Arabidopsis thaliana: one gene and its partner. The protein of the gene in region 1 interacts with the protein of each later gene in a pairwise test. Each region holds a gene or a part of one and is shown on either strand. Other genes may lie near its edges. The genes, in order: EDA3 and LTO1.

Evidence for each region.
Region 2: the proteins of EDA3 (region 1) and LTO1 interact in a two-hybrid assay, tested with the Arabidopsis thaliana proteins (one study listed by BioGRID).

The regions. Positions count from the first base shown.
Region 1 is NC_003071.7:14,704,509-14,711,913, forward strand, and holds EDA3 (DnaJ/Hsp40 cysteine-rich domain superfamily protein), read left to right. Parts: upstream 1-3,734; 5' UTR 3,735-3,871; coding exon 3,872-3,929; intron 3,930-4,009; coding exon 4,010-4,119; intron 4,120-4,493; coding exon 4,494-4,662; intron 4,663-4,982; coding exon 4,983-5,075; intron 5,076-5,165; coding exon 5,166-5,296; 3' UTR 5,297-5,300; exon of another isoform or gene 5,301-5,304; intron 5,305-5,422; 3' UTR 5,423-5,759; downstream 5,760-7,405. Other genes in the region: MEE25 (NAD(P)-binding Rossmann-fold superfamily protein), read right to left, coding at 284-528, 615-759, 837-966, 1,070-1,260; MEE26 (hydroxyproline-rich glycoprotein family protein), read left to right, coding at 6,311-6,661; MEE27 (Transcription factor jumonji (jmj) family protein / zinc finger (C5HC2 type) family protein), read right to left, coding at 7,372-7,405. UniProt on the Arabidopsis thaliana protein: Involved in female gametophyte development. Required for embryo sac development. Nuclear genome-encoded factor required for the accumulation of photosystem I (PSI) during plant development. Required for light acclimation and chloroplast development.
Region 2 is NC_003075.7:16,943,078-16,950,482, reverse strand, and holds the start of LTO1 (NAD(P)H dehydrogenase (quinone)s), read left to right. Parts: upstream 1-5,805; 5' UTR 5,806-5,860; coding exon 5,861-5,959; intron 5,960-6,035; coding exon 6,036-6,321; intron 6,322-6,601; coding exon 6,602-6,858; intron 6,859-6,954; coding exon 6,955-7,067; intron 7,068-7,217; coding exon 7,218-7,365; intron 7,366-7,405. Other genes in the region: STY17 (ACT-like protein tyrosine kinase family protein), read left to right, coding at 78-283, 357-471, 547-752, 914-968, 1,194-1,304, 1,526-1,576, 1,803-1,975, 2,056-2,163 and 7 more; SEN1 (Rhodanese/Cell cycle control phosphatase superfamily protein), read right to left, coding at 4,500-4,574, 4,655-4,708, 4,809-4,879, 4,970-5,166, 5,259-5,410. UniProt on the Arabidopsis thaliana protein: Thiol-disulfide oxidoreductase catalyzing disulfide bond formation of chloroplast proteins and involved in redox regulation and photosynthetic electron transport.

The DNA of each region.
Region 1 (7,405 bases):
TCAATTTTTTTCCAACCAATGATTTTCACTTTTTACACAAAGAAGCGACATATGTCTTCCGTTAGGATTTTGATAAACCTCAATCACAATAAAATAGGTGATTGACATGGATGATATTTTATTAATCAATAATCTCATATATAATCTCTATATATGGATAAGATGAATACTATTCTACTAAGAATAAATCCATCTTCTTCTACTACCTTCACTACCATCTAGAATCAAGACTCTAATGAAGGAGTCCTTGAAGGGCAATGCTCACATACCTAATGCATAATGGTCAGTATGCAGAAACCAAGGAAGAAGATCCATAGCCACTGCGATGAAGCTTTTGCCATCTCCATGCCATCTTTAAACTTTCTTGAAGATTGGTGTGCTTAGCTGTCCAATTCAGCTCTTCTTTGATTTTTCTTGGATCGCTGTAAACCTCTGCGTAATCTCCTGCCCGTCTTTCCAAGTAATCGACTTTTATATCAACGCCGGTCGCCTTTTTGCACGCTTCCACAAACTCCTTCACCGAGCTACCTGCTTGCACAACAATTAATACCACATTCTCTGAAATCCATTCACTTCACTATCCTAGAATCTTTGCCAAACATCTAATTTTATACCTTTCCCGGTACCAACATTGAAGATACCAACTTTGCGGGGTTTCGCCTTTTCAAGAGCTTTAACATGAGCATCAACCAAGTCGGTGACATCAATGTAATCACGTACACAAGTCCCATCAACAGTCTTGTAGTCTGTTCCTTTAATCTGCAGATAAAAACCAAATAAACTTTTAACAGAGATTATATGTGGTGATTACGCACAAAAAAGAGCCTGGTAAATACCTGCAGCCCGGGAATGATGCCTCGTGCAGCATCAAAGCAAGCACCAGAGATCCGTCCATGCTCACTGAGTTCAGGTCTTGGAGCTTCACCTAGTCTACCCTCAGGATCAGACCCAATCACATTGAAATATCTGAAGAAAACCAATTTGAAGACAGAATGAACTCAACTTCAGGGCAAGAGAAAACAAACACAGAGGTCACACACACACACACATAACAGAATTAACTAACAACCTTAGGATCATAACTGCCATAATAGAATTCTTGGAGAAATCCAAGATGATATCTTCTGCCATCTTTTTAGCCTTTCCATATGGATTGATTGGAACCTGTGGAGTTTCCTCTGTTATTGGCATTTTCTCAGGCTCTCCATAAGTAGCACATGTGCTTGAATATATCAAAGTCTTCACACCATGAGCAGCCATTGTCTCTAAAACTACCAATGTGTTCGATGTGATATTGTGATAATACTTGCAAATGACAGAACACAAAATATTATTTACATCAATCTTACAGCAAAGGTTAAATCATTTTGAGAAGGAACAAAAATACTCACTTGAGAGGAAACTGTGTGCTTTCTCCAACATAAGCAACAGCAGCAAAATGCATCACAGCGTCAAATGCGTTTTCAGAAAATATTTTGTTAACCTGAAAGAATTTCTTATCAAGAAAACACACACAAAAAAGCTTGTCTGTGTGTTTATGGTGGTCTTATATCTAAAATCACAATGAAGGATCATACAGCATTTGCATCTCCAAGATCAGCATAAATGAATTGAAGCTTTCCAGGTTCCGGAAACAGTTGTTGCAAGATCTTGACTGCACCGAGGTTCCCTCGAGATAGATTGTCCTGCCAAAACATGAAAAGATTTACTTCTTTACTTAGATACAACACGAGAAGCATGAATCTATGTAAGGCAATGGAGATGTATGTATACCACAATGGTGACACGGTATGAATCTTTTAGAAGGCGTAAAGCTGCATGTGACCCGATATACCCTGCACCACCAGTGACTAGAACATGTGTAACTCCTGGTTCACTTCGAGAAAACTGAAAGATGAAGAAAACATTACTACTACAAAAATGAGACACTGTATCAATATCAAGTTAAGTACATATAAGAAGTAATACCACGCTTGGGGTATTGAAGGTTGGGGATTGGTTGAGCAAGAGAATGCACATTGCTGTAAGTGTCATGACCAAAACAATCTTCCCCATGTAATTGTTGTTCTTCTTTGGGTCTGCAAAATCCAATCCTACACTCCAAAAATCATCAACATGTGTGAAATTTTGAATCCAAATAAGAAACACAAGAAAAGCTTATGACTTTGGAGCTAACTAATAAGCCCCCAGAAAATCTAAAATCTCTATCAACTTACCAACCACTTCTAAACAAGTAAGCAAAATATTTCAGACAAATAAAAAAAAACAGTAGAAAAATCAGGTTTTATCATAAAAGTCTAAAAGATATTCCTGTGTGTACCTTCAAAAGACATAGATCTGTTTTGCCTCCCGGTTCTAGCTCTGCCTAAATTCAGCATTTTGATTCTGAAAGTACACGGCGTAGTCCAGTTTCAGCTGTAAGAGATTAACAACTCGAAATATTTAGAAAACTCGCACCTGCAAAAACCTCAGTAACTCCAGTTTGGGTGGGAACATGTAGGTCTTTCAAATAAAAATGAAAATGCAGAATTCACACCGACACAGAATTTCACAACAACAAAAAGGCCAAAGTTCAGCCTGTACATGAGGAAACAGAAGAAAACTGTAGAAAGCAAAAATGTTGTATAATCTGGACTTGACCAAGAATCTCTCTTCTATAGTAAGAAAGATTCGATCTCAATTCTAAGTGGAAAAGGTTAGAACGACTTACGTACAAAGGAGGAAAGTAAAGAGAGTGGTCTTGACGGTGAAAGCGAGCGAAGGGAACACGAGACACGAGACAAGAGAAGAGCTATAAAGTTGAATTAAATGATTACTTTATTGAGATTTTTAGACACAAGTAACGAATGAAATTGCAACAAGTATTATAAGGGACGCGGTGATTGGAACGAGGGAGCTCCGGCACCTGTGCGTACCGACGAACTCTCTGCTGCACATGTCGGCAAAAGTCTCTACGTGGCTTTTACTTTATGGCCAAAACTTGACTACCTCTTGACCAACATATTATAGTACAACAAAAATTTACGGAAAATATTAGTATAATGAATGATAAGCAAAACAAAATCTATTGTTTTTGGTTGTAATATTTGTAAATGATTTTTAGATAGTTCGATAATTTGCTAGTTATAATTAGAAAAATTTCGAATAGAGTTATAAAGAGTAGACCTTTTTGTATATAGTAATAAAAATAATTGGCTATAAACTATGTTGACTTCATAACATTACTACGTCTTCTTAAAAACAAAAACATGACTACATCTTGATCAAGAAAATTAAAGCAACCGACAGTTCCATGCACATTGACTTTACTAGATCTCGAGACCATTTATTCCTCAGTTGTATAGATTTGTTTATCTTTTTTGAATTTAATGTTAGAAAAAAAAGAAGAGAAATTGCTTTCATTGAGAGTTGAACTCAAGACCTCCTGCATACTATATATTTGTTTATCAAATATACATTCATTGATTAAACTAATTTCATATATCATAAAATTTGAATCGTACAAAGATCACCACAAGTCAGAAGACTAATAAAACACCACTAACCTGAACAAGCACATGTTCTTTGTATTAAAAATGTGAGAGAATAATTCATCATGAAAAAGTCATAATCAAAGTCAAAGCCTAACCCTTTTTAAGTCTTTTCGGGGCCGTCTTGGAGCAGGCCTAACAGGCTAGCGGCCTTTTAAGACTTACTCTACTACATTTAGAGGTCAAGTTATAATGGATCAAAAATTGAAATTGAAGAGAAAATGTACCAATCTAATAAACTAATCAAACTATGTGTACCAAAACGTAAATATCAGAAACATCCTATAGATGGTTCGGGTCCTCTGGTTCGCCAGTAAAATTATGACCGCAGACTGAAAAAAATGGCGGCATCATCATCTCATCTCTTCGCACTCCCTTCGCCTGCTTCTCCGTTTCTATGTAACATCTCTATCTCTCTATCTGTTCCTTTCCGACATTGTTTATATTATCCTCTTTCTTACCCGCATCGTTTCTGTTAGCTGCACCAAACCGGAATCGAGTTCGTGTTCTTGCGAAATCATGCCCGGAGAATCAGAGCTTCGACTCCAACGATTCGGATTCTTCCTCAGAGACTACCCACAAAGCCCAGGTTAATAATACAAGATGCCTTACATTCTTGTTGGTTCTGTGTGTTAAAGTCCGTATCTTTTTTCTTATTCCAAGCATTTGTATCAGCTGCAAAAGGTTTCTAATTGATCGTTTTGACTACTAATAGTTTACCTTGAAATCAGCTAGTTGATTGGTTATGTTCTCTAGTTAAGTAGCTATGCTAAGAAATTTTTTAAAGTCTTAGTCTTTAGTTCTTCTGCTACAAAAATTGGTACATCAACACTAGTATGTCTTTGTTACTCTTCAATGATCTAGTTGTAGTTCTCAGTGTATAGCTATCTATGCAACTGCTTTCATTAGTTCTTAGTCTTAATTTCTGCTGTCAACTTATGTGGCTTGTGTTCTTGGCTGCAGGGAGATCAGAAATCAGTGTCACGGAGACAGTGGATGACGGCATGTGTGTGCGCATCTGCAGCTTTAATTAGCAATTCTTATACCTTTGTCTCTGTACAAAGCGCAGCCGCTTTAGACAAGAAACCAGGAGGTTCATGTCGTAACTGCCAGGGCAGTGGTGCTGTTCTTTGTGAGTGACAAGTTCTTTTGTTTTAGTTTCTTATCTGGAACTCTGATATAGAAACATATCCTTAAACGTATATTGTATAGTATATTTGCCTTGTGTTTCTTTAGAATCTGTAGGGTCTTATAGCTTAAGATTGAAAGATATAAGACCTGATTGTGACTTTTAACAACAAACATATGGAACTCTTGATAATAGTTTTCGTAGACACCTTCCTATGTGAAAAGTTCGTAATGATTCTCTGTTTCCATTTGATATGATGCAAAATGCCTCATGAGCTTACTACTGATACCCATTTGGTTTAATTGGATTTTGTTATGATATAGGTGATATGTGTGGTGGTACAGGAAAATGGAAAGCTCTCAACCGAAAACGTGCGAAAGATGTATATGAGTTTACGGAATGTCCAAACTGTTACGGTTTGTTTCCTTCCCGATATCTCTTTAGTCTTGTTTGGTTTCGTAACACTTGAAATTTCCTGATTAGTTGGTGGCTTCTATTGCAAACAGGTCGAGGTAAGCTTGTTTGTCCGGTCTGTTTAGGTACAGGTTTACCAAACAACAAAGGCCTTCTTAGAAGGCCTGGTGCTCGTGAGCTACTCGAAAAGATGTACAATGGTCGGCTTCTTCCTGATTCATGAGAAGGTAGGTATAGGTCCTTTTTACTACAACTTCACATTTGAGATTATTGGGTTCACGAATTAAAAGCTTGGTGAGGACAAGCGTGTTCCTCTCTCTTATCTTTCCATCTCTTGAAATGGTTGCAGATTGTTACTGCAAATATGATTTTAAGCACAGAGCCAGTAGACATGATGATAGAAGCGGATGAAAACTTACACATTGAGGATGCATGGAAAGCTATAGAAGAATGTATCGAATTCAACATGTTTTTATAATGCTGCTAGGTTTGTGTTGTAAATTCTATAAACATAAAACTTTCCTTCTTCCCCATACAGACTAGACGAATCAGTTTCGACTAAGATACTCACTCACTCACCTATGCATTTAGGCATATAGAATCACACACTTTGATTATTCTCTTTAGACCTAACTACACACACATCTACTCAATCACACAACTATTTCATATTTCCTGGAACCATAATATTCCTTACATCAACATCATTTCATACTAAAAAGCAATCAGTCTAGTTGGACTAATACCGGTAAGCATAACAAATAAAGAGGATATAGTGAAATGTGAAGGTTAAGAAGAATATGTAAAGATGTAAACATACAGCTGGTTTCGAAATCATTAGTCGAATTCAATGAGCTCTAACCAAGCTGCATGAGAGACACATGTTCATGTGCATGCCTCTATATTTATTAGTATTTAACTAGTCAGTTTTCATGTTTCTCTTTTTGATATTTTTCAACTAATTTTCATGTTAAATGTACCAATGTTATATTGGAAATTATGCAACAGCCAACATGCGATACACATGCATTTGTTAAATCAGTTTACTTATTTTCGAGTTCGGTACATTCGATGTTATACAACTATTGGCACCAATTAATTGTGTTTGTAAATCAATAAGAAGTACGTTGGGTGTGAAAAAATAAATTAATGGAAATATAGGCCTATATATACTAACACTAGATAGTCACTAGACAACAGACACAAAAGCATATAAGCAAAAAATACAAAACAAATTATGGCTTCTTCATCACTCATCAGTGTAGCCCTAACCCTAATCTTGATCTTCCACCTCATGCCGGAAACAACCGTCGCTCGTCGTCTTACTGATCAGAAGCCGAGTGATGAAGTAGTCACCACCACTACCGACGAAGCTAACAACCTACCGTTTCCACCGGGCTTGCCATTTGGCGGTGTTCCTCCGTTACCGTCACTTTTTCCGCCGTTTGTACCTTCTCCGTTCCCTGGAAATATCCCACGTTTACCATTTCCGTTTCCGTTTCCGACATCACCTCCGGCGCCATCCCTTCCTGGTTTCCCTGGCTTTACGTTTCCTCCCCTGCCATTCCTCACACCGCCACCTCTGTGAACGTATACGTTAGCGCCGTTATAATGTTAGTTATCCCGTTGGAATAATCTCATGGTAATTTCGATAATCATCATGTGTACTCGATGATATAATACTGGTTTTTAATGAAAATTTTAATAAAGATATGTTGTGTACTTGTGTTTGTGTAAATGTAACACAATGTTGATCTAAGAAATAAAGGACCGATCGATTTGAGGATGTCAACATTGTATTTGAGAACGGCTCAAGTTGCATGTGTTGTTTTAAAAGTTTTATTTAATTCTAATTAATATTGTTTTTTTATATAGTTCATAAAGTTTAGAGAGATTGGAAACTAATTTATACAAACTTGAGGGAAAAGAGAGTTTTAAATCGTAGGTTTTCTAATCTTTAGAAAATTGTGTCCTTCCTAGTTTTTTAAAAATTTATTGCTTCTCTATTCTATTTTAATTTGAGTAGACAAAAACAAAGTGAAAACTTACGCAAAGGATTTGGAAAATGGTGTTTTAGAATTTGTTACATCATGCAACTTTCAAAGTCAAACATCATGCAACTTATGAGTATTTTGGAAAATGGTAGCAACAAATTACAGTTTGGTCATCAGAGCCTGATGAGACAAACAATGTACTGAAACAATTCTAAGAAAAATCATCAGGGTAAAGAAAAATTGTTGAGTTCCTGTCTAACAACATTGTCTCTGGCATTCTTGACGAGTGTTCCTCTTCAAGAATTCAATTCAAATCAACCCCAAAAAGTCTTGCTTTG
Region 2 (7,405 bases), on another chromosome or scaffold:
CGAAGAAGAGATCACTCCTACTGTTGAATTCTGGTTTTACTTGAGAGAGTTTTTCAATTCTGATCTGCTGTTTTGCGATGGCGATCAAAGAGGAGACGGAGGAGAGTTGCGGAAGCAGAGCCGTGGTAGCTTCAATAACGAAAGAAAGCCCTAGACAGCACCGTATGAAACTGGAGGTGTACGGTGAGGTTCTTCAACGAATCCAGGAATCCAATTACGAAGAAGCTAATTTCCCTGGTTTTGATGATCTCCTCTGGCTTCACTTCAATCGTCTTCCTGCTCGGTAATCTTTTTGGATCCTATGATAATAAATGTTTTCAAATTTGACTTCCTGCTGAAATGGATTTTGTGTATAGATATGCTTTGGATGTAAATGTTGAGAGAGCAGAAGATGTACTTACTCATCAGAGATTGTTGAAATTGGCTGAAGATCCTGCTACTAGACCTGTTTTCGAAGTTCGTTGTGTGCAGGTGTGATCATTTAACCATCTTCACCACTTTTTAATCTTGCTTGCTTGCTTCTTCATACTTCCACTTTTCTTACAGGTTTCTCCCACATTGAATGGAAATTCTGGTGACGTTGATCCTTCGGATCCTGCGGTCAATGAAGATGCTCAAAGCTCCTATAACTCGAGGTCTCTTGCACCTCCAACTTTTGGTTCTTCTCCGAATTTCGAAGCTCTTACTCAAGCTTACAAAGATCATGCTCAAGACGATGATAGTGCTGTCAATGCACAGTTGCCTAATTCTCGGTGAGATATATACTTTTGACACTTAACTTACTTGAGTCTTCTTGTCTGCATATACTTGAAGAGGCGTTCTTTGTAGCATGGTATCGTCTGTTTTGCAGGATTATTTGATTTAATTTTACAACCATGTGTGGTGATATTATCCTTTGTTGTCTATCTTATAGACCGATGCACGAAATCACCTTTTCTACAATCGACAGGCCGAAACTCCTTAGTCAGGTTGGTGATGTTGCTTCTTCCATTTCTTTTTATGTCAGCTCTGATATTGGAAACATGTGACTTTGTGTTCTTTTACAATTGCTTTTTCTCTTCGTTTGAGTAGAGTGATGTATAGGATTCCCTCTCTACTTTTAAGGATCCATTAGATACAGTCATGTAGAGAATGGGTGGTTATGTTTCTATTAAGCCATTATCTGACTGAGAATCGGTTTGTTTTCTTTCCAGCTAACTTCCATGCTTGGTGAACTTGGATTGAATATTCAAGAGGCTCATGCTTTCTCTACCGCCGATGGTTTCTCTCTCGATGTATTTGTTGTTGATGGCTGGTCGCAGGAGGTATAGTTTCAGTTTTCTGTATGGTTCACAACATCTTTCAGAACCATCATGTTACTTGTGACTGATGGATTAAGTAAACGACTTTGAAAGATTTTGACCATTGAGTAAATGACTTGTGACTTATGTAATAAGTAAATGACTTCGAAAGATATTGACCATTGATGACCTTTCTGCCCCTGCCATCTAAACTGGTTGCAACTTTATACACTTTTGAAATACAGGAAACAGAAGGTTTAAAAGATGCATTGAAGAAGGAGATAAGAAAGTTTAAGGTATCTTTTGTTAGTCTATTGTCATGAGCATTCCTTATCTTCATGAGATTCCTTATATTAGACTCCATGCCACATTCATAATTTAAATTCCGAAAGTGCAAGTAATGGTTTAGAATTAGCTCACTCCGAAACTGAATGCACCACTGTACTGATGTTTTTTTTGCTATGTTTTGAATCAATTTTGATAGTCGTCATGTCTCCATATTCCACACTGGCTGCTCTGCAGGATCAACCTTGTTCAAAACAGAAATCTATCACTTTCTTTGAGCATGACAAATCAACCAACGAGCTGCTACCTGCGTGTGTTGAAATACCTACGGATGGAACTGATGAGTGGGAAATTGACATGAAGCAGCTCAAAATTGAAAAAAAGGTGGCATGTGGATCATACGGGGAACTGTGAGTTTTCATATTCAAAAATCTTGTTTTTAATACTATATGAGGAAATTAACAGCTATATATTCTTAATGGCTATGCAGATTTAGAGGAACCTATTGTAGTCAGGAAGTAGCTATCAAAATTCTCAAGCCTGAGCGTGTTAATGCGGAAATGCTACGAGAGTTTTCTCAGGAAGTATATATAATGAGGTGTGCTGCAATTTGATTCTAATTGCAACTCGTACTCTTATAGTATATGTATTCTAATAAATCTCCAAAAATTCCATTTCATGGTGTATACGTAGAAACATGCATGAGTTTCCCTCATTTTCTAACAACCAGTGTCCATTGAACAAAGTTAATATTCAGAAACATCCACTACTGATACTTCCCTATTTGTAGGAAAGTTCGGCATAAAAATGTTGTCCAGTTCATTGGTGCATGTACACGATCACCAAACCTCTGCATTGTGACAGGTAAGTTGTCAGTAGATTATGAATAGGAGACTGGTTCCATCTAGATCGTTTTTTTTGTTGGTTTTGTATCTTCAAGCGTGGTGAGAAAGTTGTTTCAGCAGGACATTGAGGTTCTATAGAGTATTGTTTAGTAAATACCGTAACATTTCATTTCCTAGTTTTGGCCTTTACATGTATTCATGGTCGGATGATTTTATCCTTTTGTATCAGAGTTCATGACTCGGGGGAGCATTTATGATTTCCTTCACAAACACAAAGGGGTTTTTAAAATTCAATCTTTGCTCAAAGTGGCACTCGACGTCTCGAAAGGAATGAATTATCTGCATCAAAACAATATTATTCATAGAGACCTTAAGACTGCTAATCTTCTTATGGACGAACATGAAGTAAGTCTCAATCTTTGGCCACTGATCATGTAGTCTTTTCAGCTTGTAAACCTTTAAAATTCTACAAAAAACTTAATTTCCTCTTTCCGTCTCCACAAAATTCTTTTAATCTTCTTAGAACAGAGGTACATGTCTTTAATTTCTACATAATTTTGGACAGGTTGTCAAAGTTGCCGATTTTGGTGTTGCCAGAGTGCAGACTGAGTCAGGGGTTATGACAGCGGAAACAGGGACATACCGATGGATGGCTCCAGAGGTATTACTTCTTTGTCTTGTTCTTTTTTTTGACTTTCCATGCTTTTGACACTAGACTCTGTGAACCCAGGTCATTGAGCACAAACCTTATGATCACAGGGCAGATGTCTTCAGCTACGCGATTGTGCTGTGGGAACTTTTGACTGGGGAAGTAAGACTCCTAGTTTTCTCTCTCTGGATTTTAGTCGAAAGTTGCTAAACTCAGTAAATCTCATGTGTTTAACACACTTTTTTTTCTTACTGGTGTATAATGAATGAAAACAGCTCCCATATTCTTACTTGACTCCACTGCAAGCTGCTGTTGGCGTTGTCCAAAAGGTATCATGTCTATAGGACTTTATAGTTATTTTTCTCGTGCTTTGATTAACGGCCTTCAACACAATGACTTGTAATTAATTTACAGGGACTTAGACCAAAAATTCCAAAGGAAACACACCCAAAACTGACTGAACTTCTTGAGAAATGCTGGCAGCAAGACCCAGCTCTAAGACCCAATTTTGCAGAAATCATAGAAATGCTTAACCAACTAATCCGCGAGGTAATTGATTTATCATTGCATCTCTCTCTCTAACCAACACGATTCTTAGCATTAATATGTTTTGAAACCACCAGGTTGGAGATGATGAGCGCCACAAGGATAAACATGGTGGTTACTTTTCAGGCCTAAAAAAAGGCCATCGTTGACTCTCTCGGGTGCGCTGAAAAATTTGGTTTGATCGGTTTGATAGAGCTCTACTCACTTCTCGTTTTTTCGTTGTACAGTTTCTTAGAGCCTCACTCTTTTTGTCCATGTATAATTTTCTTAAAAAACAATCTCCTTTTGATACAATTATCACTGCAGAGATTGATTTGGATTGCAACTCAATAAAGTGAAAGCCATTCTTTTGAAGCCATTCTTAAGAGCGGCTACGGATTTCTTTGTTAATCAAAGCAAGTAATCATATTAACTGATCGTAAACGATTCAGATACAGAAACACCTGTGTTGAGATTGATATTAGTTTTCATAATATTAGTTTCGGTTCCTTTCGGTTTGATCTTGTCCATGTATAAATATGTTTTTCTATCATTTTATAAATTTAACACTTAAACTTAAAGAATAATAATTTAAAACCAATTTAAAACTTAAATTTTAAGAAAGTAATTAATAATTTTTAACTAAAATAATGTTAATTTCACTATTATCATTTAAAAATTAGTTTAAGTATTAAAATTTTAAAACGGCGAAAACTAAACGTGTGTAGGCATGCATCCCCGTCCTTAATTGGTCCGTAAACTTTGTGGTGTTCGAAGTTCGGTAAAGCTTTCACCCAATATAGATTTGACAGTTAAACTATGTTTTAGAGAATAATAATGATGATTGATACTTGCGTTGAGAACATCTACAGAATTTATTGATAATTACAGGAGGTGATATGGCTATGATTGTTTTCACTCTTCTACCGGCAGCTCATTCTCTGTCCAAGCGACGTATCCTCCAGCAATGTCTGTGATCGCCGTGAAGCCCTGTACATGTGGCGACATTAAACCCGCTTGTCCTAAACCGGATAACGGCTATATAAATTGAAGTGATATTACACACATACAGCAGTGAGAAGATCAGTTGAGGCCATAAATGACATTTGACCGCTCTCACAACCCTGCAGAAGTAGTTTATTACGTGCATCAGAGATTTTGTGAAACAAGGGATTGTCTTCATAGGGGTTTATTTAGTCTCTGAATGTCAAAACTGAAACTTACGATTATGATTTCATCGTGTTTCCTGAAGTGGGACGAGACCTGTCTTAGAAAACTCGGGTTCTTAACCATTCCTGCAACGGTTTTGGCTTGGTGTTAGTTTTAAGTTGTTTTTCATTTTCACTCTTTCTCATAAGAGGAACCTTAAGGTCGGTGATGAAAACCTGATCCGACTCTGTACATGTAAGGTACGTTGATGGCTCTAGTCGGATGTCCGATGCTGAATTCGTCTGGTGTCCTCACGTCGAGATAGCGGTATCCTGCTTGAGCTAGCTCACGCGCCACTCTTACTGGTACTGACGTAGGAATTTTAACTGCCTCTGCTGCAACATTTCCTCTGCTTGTTGTCGTTGCTTTCCTCCTTGAGCAAGAAGTTAATACTCAGATTTAATATTTATTCATAATCTAAAATCAGATAGAGAAGGCGATTCTCGTCGTTGATTGCTAGCTTACCATCGGAAGTTTGAGTTTCGAAGATCAGCTACAATAACACCTCTTCGTGTTGGTAATTGGCACTTGAAAGATCCACATGTTTGTAGAGGTGGAGAAATAGCCGATGACCAGTTTCCAATTCGTGATGTTGTGTTAAAAGCAGTGGTTTCCATTTTCACTTCTTCTTTGAAACTTCTTTTAGAATGCTTTGATGCTACTTAGATACTTCTTCTCTTAGTTCTATAGCGTTTATATAATACATACAGACACAAAGGTATGGGTGTCACGTCAGCAAGTTTTATGTCCGATCTTCGAGTCTCTATCATTTCTATGGATAAATTCAATTATGTACCAAAGTCGATTCCAAAATGTAAACAATGCGTAGATAATGAATCATGATAAGTCCAACTCGGTGCCTCGTGAGTCGTGTTGAAGAGGATAACTTGCTGACTCGGACGGATAAGAAGACCGTAAGGCCCAATTGTGATAAACTAATTATGGATCCAAATTATCGTATTTGGGCCTCGTTTAGGCCCAATATTGAAACAAGTGGCTGAGATAGTGGAGCGGAGGAGAGAAGATGATGAAGTTAACAATGGTGGAATAGCGATTCTTCGACGACGATGATGGCGAGGTTTGTTTCTGTGTCGTCTTGTCAGTTTCATTTCGGCTTCCGTGAGGTTTCTCCTCCGTCGGTAACTTCTTATCCTAGACGATTCGAGGTAAATTCTTGTCATGTGTTTTCTTCAGTGACAGTAGTGTGTGATCGGTCATTTGAAGTCAGATGTTCTGAATTAGGTCTCTGATCGGAGATTTCCTGCGATTCCGATTAAATGTTCTTCATCTGAGCCGGAAAACGGTGAGGATTCGGCACCGTCGCTGTCTTCCTCCTCCTCATCGTCTACAAGTGAAGTATCTACTAGTAACAGTTCGACATACAACTGGTACACCGGAATCGGCGGTATTGGGATGTTAGACACTGCGTATTTGACTTACCTCAAGGTCACTGGCTCCGATGCGTTTTGCCCTATTGGTGGTGGCACTTGCGGTGATGTCCTCAACAGCGATTATGCCGTCGTTTTCGGTATTATCCATCGCTTTATTGATTATAGCGTTTGATTTATGTAGCTAATTGTCCTCTCTTTTATAGTAGGCATGATTAAATACTCGCATGTGATAGTCTCTGTGAATCTTTGCTTGAAGCTATATCATTTAGGAGCTTTGGTACTTAGTATGCATAGAATTGTTAGAGTTAAATAGCATGCTTCACTCCACTCTATGTAGTGCTTTGTCTTCGTTGTTTGTCCAACATTGCATTGCAGGTAAGTTGAACTCAATGAAAATCCTTTTTTACATTTTGCCAGGTGTTCCTCTTCCAGTGATTGGATTTGTTATGTATGGCGTAGTAACCGCTCTAAGTGCAGAGCTTGGGGAAGGGAATCTACCTTTTGGAATCAGTAAGAGCAATGGGCGTTTCGCGTTATTTGGGATCACGACTGCAATGGCATCTGCTAGTGCATATTTCCTGTATATCCTTAGCACAAAACTCTCAGGATCATCATGCCTGTATTGTCTGGTGTCTGCTTTCTTATCATTTAGTCTATTTTTCCTCTCTGTAAAGGTATCCCTTTATTTCCATTTCTTTTTTTTTCCTGATGTTGACTCAAGATAACTTCTAAACTTCGGATTATGATAATGTGCTCCATGCATGTGGTAGGATGTGAAGTTGCAAGAAATACAGCAAGTTGTAGGATTGCAGATATGCTTAGCAATCATAGTAGTTGCCTCCTTGACTGCTTCTTACAGTACTGCTCAACCAATCCCTTCACGGTAATCAAAGTTCATAGTTTTCTTTGGGGAGTCCCGATAGAAATTTTAGTCATTTGTAACGAGTAGTGAACAAATAGCTTCCGAAAGATGTATGAGTCTTATCAGGTGGTCTCTTTTAATCCCGATCGTTTTTTGTTTCACTCCTTCCAGCTCTGGTGACATTGAACTGCCATATTTTAGAACAGAGATCAGTTCATCATCGAGCCCTTATGCTATTGCTTTAGCAAAACATCTAAACTCCATTGGAGCTAAAATGTATGGGGCATTCTGGTGTTCTCACTGCTTAGAGCAAAAAGAGGTAGTTAGTTCATTCATCACCTGTTTGCCAAGAATCAGTT